2 linked regions of the Macaca mulatta genome follow. The protein of the gene in region 2 purifies or fractionates together with the protein of the main gene of each other region. This does not show direct contact. Links are inferred from orthologs where the notes say so. Each region holds a gene or a part of one and is shown on either strand. Other genes may lie near its edges. The genes, in order: CBX5 and ZNF462.

Region 1 (3,813 bases), on a different chromosome or scaffold from region 2:
CTCCTTTCATTTATTTCAAGGTTATGAAGCCTTTTGTGGTGAAGGATGTATCATACACTTTACATTTAATAAAAGCATAAGTCTACTTCGGAATCTTCCAGCCTTCCAGAGTAGCAGCCACAATCATCCCTATTTATCTTCATTGTAATTAGATATATACCTTTCTAGAACATTAGTTCCTAACCCTGTCTACACATTATAATCACCTGGGGGGTACGTTGAAAAAATTTCTAGTGCCTAAGATGCACCCCAGACCAGTAAAATTAGAATTTTTTTTTTTTTTTTAAGACAGAGTCTTGCTTTGTCACCCAGCCTGGAGTGCAGTGGCACGATCTCACTGCAACCTCTGCCTCCTGGGTTCAAGCGATTCTCCTGCTTCAGCCTTCCTAGTAGCTGGGACTACAGGCACATGCCACCACACCTGGCTAATTTTTTGTATTTTTAGTACAGACAGGGTTTCACCATGTTAGCCAGAATGGTCTCAATCTCCTGACCTGGTGATCCAACTGCCTCGGCCTCCCAAAGTGCTGTGATTACAGGCGTGAGCCACCACGCCTGGCCTCTGTCATTTTTAAAAAGGAGCTGTCTGAATAATCTGGCTTAGAAGCACTGGCCAGTGCAGAGAGTTTTTGTTCTTAGGCCAGGTTCTGAAGCTGCCAACCTTGAAAACAACCCCCACATGTCCCTTACATCATAATGTTCATCTGGGGCCCCTGATAGCATTCTTAGCAGTACTGGCTGCTGTCAGGTAGACAGCTGAGATGATAGGTGATTGTATGTTTTAAAGGTACAGGAGGGGATTGTGTATCTTTTTTAAGACCCCTGGAGAAGAAATTTGTTAGTTTGCATTATGCCTGATTTAAGATTACTGCCTGTATGATGATTTTAGCATTTTCTTCGCCCCGGCTCCTTTTCAGCAACTTGAACATTTTTCTTCCATTTGCCTCCCCTTCCCTCCCTATGTAGCAAACTATTTTCAGTTGCCAGTTATGATTTACAACTTAGTCCATGTGCCAGCATTCCAGCTGTGAGCAGCTGTGTGAACATCTGGGAACTTCTTCCCCGTAAGCGCCCCTAAAAGAGGCTATGTTTTTAAAAGTCAGTATCTCTCATTGATCCATGCATGGAATTTCCTTCCAATTGTGGATTTTGGTATCTTTGGGGACCACCCGGACCCCAAATGCTTTGTATGTCTCAGAGGAAAGCAAGTGAACATAAGATCAAAGAGATTTTATTATGAAAATCAGGCAGTAGATATTTAGTTCATTTGGGCACCTCTAAATCTTTTTTTTGTGTTGTCACTGGAGAGGCTAACATTATCTTCCATAATAAAGTTTTTAAAAATTCTCTAGTTTAGGCCGGGTGTGGTGGCTCACACCTGTAATCCCAGCACTTTGGGAGGCTGAGGCATGTGGGTCACTTGAGGCCAGGAGTTCGAGACCAGTGTGGTCAACATGGTGAAACCATGTTGAAAATACAAAAATTAGTCAGGCGTAACTGGGTGTGATGGCTCCCGCCTGTAATCTCAGCACTTTTGGGAGGCCGAGGTGGGATGGATCACCTGAGGCCAGGAGTTTGAGACCAGCCTGGCCAACAAGGTGAGACCCCCATCTCTACTAAAAATGGAAAAATTAGCCAGGTGCAGTGGCATGCACCTGTAATCCCAACTACTCGGGAAGCTGAGGCAGGAGAATCACTTGAACCTGGCAGGCGGAGGCTGCAGTGAGCCGAGATTGCGCCACTGCACTTTAGCCTGGGCAACAGAGGGAGACTGTCTCAAAAAAAAAAAAAAAATTACCTGGCTTGTATAAAATTTTGCTTTTTGGCTCTCATCAGTATTATTACACCTGGATTAGAACCTGTGCTCCTTGTCTAGATTGTATTACTGCATTTAGACCAAGTTTCAGTACTCATCTCATCAATTATCAAATTTTCTTCTTTCTGTCTTAAGAGACAGGTTCTCACTATGTTGCCCACCATGGAGCACAGTGGCATGATCATAGCTCACTGCAGCCTCGAACTCCTGGGCCCTGGGCCTCAGCCTCCTGAGTTGGAGTAGCACACTTCAGGTGTGCACCACTGTGCCCAGCTAATTTACAGAGACAGTTGCCTATGCTGGTCTCCAACTTCCAGTCTCCTCCTGTCTCAGCCTCCCAAAGTGATGGGATTACAGGCATGAGTCACTGCACCAAGCCAGTTTTTTGTTTTTGTTTTCTTTTTTGTTTTTGTTTTCAATCACAGTCCAGTTCTGCCTTCTAATGCTAGCAATCATCTACATCCAGAGGGGATAGGCATTGACCCAGGGCCTTCTGTCCAACCAAGCATATAAGTATTGGTGTTTGTGATCTCTGAAATTTTGCTATTTAATAGTATTGGCCTTGCATAATTCTTATCTCTATTCTTTCATAAATATAGGCGACTGTGAAATGTGTTAAAATTATTGGTTAGTGTTAAGGTAAACTAAAAGTCTAAAAAAATAAAGATTGAGAGAGAGGTAGTATATTTGAAGTTCATAAGATGAAAAGATATAGTTAGGGTAAACAGGGTATTCTTTAACATTTCAGAAGCTTATTTACAATATTAAGGAGATTCCAAGTGAGTGGGATTAGAGGAATTCCTAGATGTTGACTCCAGAGTATCTTTTTTTTTTTTGAGACGGAGTCTTGCTGTGTTGCCTAGGCTGAAATTCTGTGGTGCGATCTCTGCTCACTGCAATCTCCGCATCCCAGGTTCAAGCAATTCTCCTGCCTTAGTCTCTCGAGTAATTGGGGTTACAGGCACCTGCCACCACGCCTGGCTATGTTTTTGTATTTTTAGTAGAGATGGGGTTTCACCGTGTTGGCCAGGCTGGTTTTGAACTCCTGAGCTTGTGATCCGCCCGCCTCGGCCTCCCAAAGTGCTGGGATTACAAGCGTGAGCCACCATGCCTGGCTGACTCCAGAATATCTTATAGGACATTAGAGACTTTTAGGGTTCACCTCCAATCTTCTGGAGGAATTCCAGGAAAGATAATCACATCTTTTTTTTTTTTGAGACGGAGTCTTGCTATGTCGCCCAGGCTGGAGTGCAGTGACCGGATCTCAGCTCACTGCAAGCTCCACCTCCCGGGTTCACACCATTCTCCTGCCTCAGCCTCCCGAGTAGCTGGGACTACAGGCGTCCGCCATCTCGCCCGGCTAGTTTTTTGTATTTTTTAGTAGAGACGGAGTTTCACTGTGTTAGCCAGGATGGTTTCGATCTCCTGACCTCGTGATCTGCCCGTCTCGGCCTCCCAAAGTGCTGGGATTACAGGCTTGAGCTACCGTGCCTGGCCGATAATCACATCTTACAAAAATATCTCTTGGCATCACTGTCACTTCATTGTCACTGTCAGTACTTAGTATTAAGTTCTAAAAATTTTTCTGAATTGGTGACAGAAATGATATCAGGAGATATTAACTTAGGTTGTGTTTTGTTGAGCCTAGAAACAGGGAGTTTCTTTACTCTTTCCACAAGCTGTAACCTTTCTTCGTCTTCTATTTATAGCAGAGCAATGATATCGCTCGGGGCTTTGAGAGAGGACTGGAACCAGAAAAGATCATTGGGGCAACAGATTCCTGTGGTGATTTAATGTTCCTAATGAAATGGTGAGAGAGATTTGGCTTCATGTTACAATTGTGTTTCTTTGCCAGTGACTTGAATTTGTGCGGAAGATAGGGTGGCAAGATTGTGTATTCCCAAACCATGAATTTTCAATGTCAGAGATTTTTTTTTTTTGAAACAGTGTTTCGCTCTTTGTTGCCCAGGCTGGAGTGCAGTGGCGCAATCTCACTC
Region 2 (3,813 bases):
GCAACAAAAAGTTGTTCTTAAAACCACCCCTCTTTCCATGGCCCCAAAAAGCCTTACACACTTGTTCCAAATTTACACTTTCAAAGCTGTGATGAGTAATGGGAAGCTCCCTCCCCTCAATCTCCCTGTATGTCAAGCAACTCTTTGGCATCCATGAACTTCTTTACCTTTCAAGGTCTCTTGAAAAATTGCAAGCAACGTTTCTTTGGTCACACGGGTTAACAGTCCTAATTTTACCTCTTTCGCAGATCAGTTTTCCAAATGGACTTTACTTCCTCAAACAATGACTAGATTTTGACTGAATGTTCGACAGATGAATCAGGAGACTCATCTACTCTCCACAGCCGCATTTTTCCTTTGGGTAAATCATAGCAATTCCTCCAATTCTCATTTTTAAAATGCCTGCATTTGCCAGATCTAATGCCATCCGATCAATCTCCTGTTCTCAGGCCCATTTTACAGAAAAGGTGACTGAGCTCCAGGTAACAGAGCAGGAGGTGTGAACCATGAGTGGGGCCTTCTTACTCATTCAAGCTTCTGCTTTAGCTTAGTGCCTTCCACTATGACATCTTCCCCCAGTAACCACTAGTGACCCCCCAATAGCACTTACTTGTGCCTGAAAGCAGAAACAAAGGAGCAATACTGGCAGCTGTACTTGTCCTCGCGGGTAAACATGGCCAGGGCCAGGTGGCTCCTCTCATGAGAACGCAGCCCCTGCATGGACATCAGGACTCTGTCACATTGACTGCAATGGTATCCCCCCGGCCGGGTTTCATCCTCCAACATTCCATCAAGCAAGCAGTGTTCACCATCCACCCGGCCCACCAGGGCGCCACTGGCGTCTTTGGCTGCTTCCAATCCATCCAGGAACAAGTGGGCAGGGTCATCCGCCTCCTGCTAAGAGAACCACACACACACACATGCCCCACCAACAAAATAAATATCCATCATCATTGCCCCCAGCTTTTTCTCCCTTCATTCTCCCAAACTCAACAGCACTTCTTGTCAAAGCTTCCTCCCCTGCCTCTCCAGCTACCTTTAGAGGGAGAGCAAGCCCAACTGTCATTCCTCACGCAGTGGAGGTGATTTTAGAACAACATACCCGGACACAGGTTGCTACTGCTTGCGAAATGTGAACAAGGGCTTCTCCCGCTCTGAAGACACTTCACTCACTTCTTCCCCTTCTTAAAAGAAAATTCCAACTGCAATCCCATCTAAGATGACATAAAATTGGGCTAGGGTTGTGGCTCACAGAAAAGAGAGGAAGAAAGGAAGAGAATGAAAAGCAAAGTAGTATGGTCATTGAGGAGCCTTGGGCCATTATCTGGAAAGGAAGCAAAGCAAAAGATCCTGCTGTCTGCCCCCTACCCTGTAGATGGTGACTTCACTCTATGACTGGAGACTGCTGCATAATCCATTCAAAAAATTAAGGAGCAGCCTAGTTTTAAGTCACCTGTTTTTCGAGATAGTTCCTTGGGTTACTGATTACACGGGAAAAGCCCTTCTGTCTCTCTCACGTGATCCCAGGAAACGAGCCTGGGACACACCGCAGTGGTGTGTGAAAGAAGCTGACTGCTGATATCCCTGGGTTGCCACTGTTCTGCCAAAAGACAGAAAGCTTCAGTCTTCAATGAAGAAGAGTAGAGACTTTATCTTCATGTTAAATTGGCAAAATAGGATGTAAGCTCAAGAAGGGCAGATGACAAAAATATATTTTCATGTACCCATAGAGAAAGGGCAGAATGCTGAAATGACTTCTGTTTTAATAAATAATAGGGCTGAGCAATATTCTGGAAGATGGGGATGGTGGCTTAGTTACTGACGTGGTGGCTGCTATTAGGATTATGATGTTCAAAACAGGTGGCCTAATAAAAGTTAGAGGGAAAAGGGAAGACATTTGTCAGCATCATATGGGAAAGGGGATGGAGGAGACAAACCAAGGCTTTCAGGGTCAGTTGTGACTTGAATGCTTTTAGTTTTAATGTCTTTTGCAGTCCCCAGAGGATCCAGGATAAGAAGACAAAGAGATTCTCCTAGGCTTTCTGCATCCTCAGCCAGATGAGAACAGTAAGAAGTCAGGAAGAAAGAGGAGCAGAAGACGATGGGAACAGAACCCACTTGATTCCTCTCAAGAGCTCGGGCAACTTGGAAGAACGAAGAGCTAATGGCACTAAACGCAGAAGAGAAGGACGACCTGAAGCCTCCTAGACCGAGAATCCTGGACCTTCTGTTGCCACCAAACTATCCACGTGGAAGGAAACCAGATCGAAACTCGACCTTTCCCTGAACAGAAAGATGAGGAAGGTCCAACCTGCAAAGAAATCAAAACAAGCCAAACCAATCCAAGTATAATTCAGGAATGCCCACATTCTGAGATGCTCTTTCCTGAGCTGCTTTAGGCAATGGGGTTAGTAAGTAACTCGAATCGCTCACACACAAGAATGCTCATCCAGACCTTCCAGTTCTCACCTTCACGGCAGCTGACACAGCTGGGACATTGCCATACTGGACGTGCTTTCGGAGGTGATTGCAGATGGCTCGGAGCGTTGGGTGCACTTCCACACAGAATTTACATTTGTAGCCCACCACTTTCCTCTCCTTGATCTTTGGCACCTCTTCTAAGTGACCAAAAGGCTGGTAAAATACAGTGGTAGCCATCAGTACTCCGAGCCCTCCCTCAATTGTCGGAATTTATTCTTGCAGTTTATTAACATATTTTATTTTAAAGCCGATTATCAGGTTAAAAACCAAGGGAGATATAGGCGAGTATTTTTATATAACAAATTTGTCAGCATCATGGCACGCTGCCTACTATGCAAAGTCTTTGGAACCCAAATATGTTACGGCTTGTGAGTAGAGAAGATTTCTGTGCAGAAGCTCATTGTCACTGCCACTAAGTTATCTGGTTTTCAAACCAGTTTCAACTAGGCAGGTGAAACGTTGCATAGTTGCGCCATTAATGAACTTCTTGATAAAATAAAATCTACTCCTGGAGACGTTAGGTTCGTGTAGCAAACACTGAAGACCAAGACATGGCTGAGAAGTGCTAATGGTACCAAGAGACAGCCCACACTGCCTTAGGAAAGAGCGAGCGTTGTTGTAAAACTAGGCTTCAGATAAAGCTACTTGGCAGAAAGACATACATAGAAACCACCCCAAACCTCCCCTGGGGAGCCATGGGAGGAGTCAAAGGGAAGGAGGGAGGGGAACGGGACCAAGGAGAGGGATGAGCACAGAATGGGAGATAATCAAGCTCGAAATGTTTAATTGACTTATTGAGCTCTCTGGCAAGCTAAGTCACTAGGAAGCCTGCAGCAGTTTGGCTGGCAACGAAGAAGTGCATGTGGGCACCAGTGATGAGAGGCCTCCTGGGGGAAGGGAAATCAAAACATATCCTTACCCTCTCTTGTTTGAAATCTGCAAAAGCACCATCTGCATATTTCTGCTTGCTCAAAAGCTGTTTCCTCCTCTCCTGACGTTTGGCACGCTTCTGGAATTCCTCATTGTGAATGTTCAAGTGTGAGGTCAGCTCGGCTGTGCTTTGCAGTTTGCTATCACAGTGCTTACACTGGTAGGTGGAGTTCTGTAAGCGGGGGCCGTTGCCCAGAATGATGAAGTCCCTCTTTAGGTCCCGACTGTGGTGGTCAGTATAATGCATGCACAGCAGCTCTGCAGTGCTAAAGGACAGCTTGAAGCATTTGATGCAGCGGAACGGGAGCCACTCGATTTCCTGAGCTTCACCCTCCACCTCGGCTTTCTCAAAGCTGCTTCTCTCCTCTTCTTCCATCAGCGTGGGCTTCTCATGCTCATCTG

Evidence for each region.
Region 1: the proteins of ZNF462 (region 2) and CBX5 purify together in Homo sapiens (affinity purification with mass spectrometry; 3 studies listed by BioGRID and IntAct, counting the BioPlex papers as one, with this or other methods). This does not show direct contact. The link is inferred for Macaca mulatta from reciprocal best matches to the Homo sapiens genes ZNF462 and CBX5.

Annotation. Positions count from the first base shown.
Region 1 is NC_133416.1:61,432,353-61,436,165, reverse strand, and holds part of CBX5 (chromobox protein homolog 5), read left to right. Parts: intron 1-3,525; coding exon 3,526-3,626; intron 3,627-3,813. UniProt on the Homo sapiens protein: Component of heterochromatin that recognizes and binds histone H3 tails methylated at 'Lys-9' (H3K9me), leading to epigenetic repression. In contrast, it is excluded from chromatin when 'Tyr-41' of histone H3 is phosphorylated (H3Y41ph).
Region 2 is NC_133420.1:51,461,114-51,464,926, forward strand, and holds part of ZNF462 (zinc finger protein 462), read right to left. Parts: coding exon 3,401-3,813; intron 2,635-3,400; coding exon 2,470-2,634; intron 2,312-2,469; coding exon 2,195-2,311; coding exon of another isoform or gene 2,171-2,194; exon of another isoform or gene 1,959-2,170; intron 1,215-1,958; exon of another isoform or gene 1,093-1,214; intron 898-1,092; coding exon of another isoform or gene 895-897; coding exon 611-894; intron 1-610. UniProt on the Homo sapiens protein: Zinc finger nuclear factor involved in transcription by regulating chromatin structure and organization. Involved in the pluripotency and differentiation of embryonic stem cells by regulating SOX2, POU5F1/OCT4, and NANOG.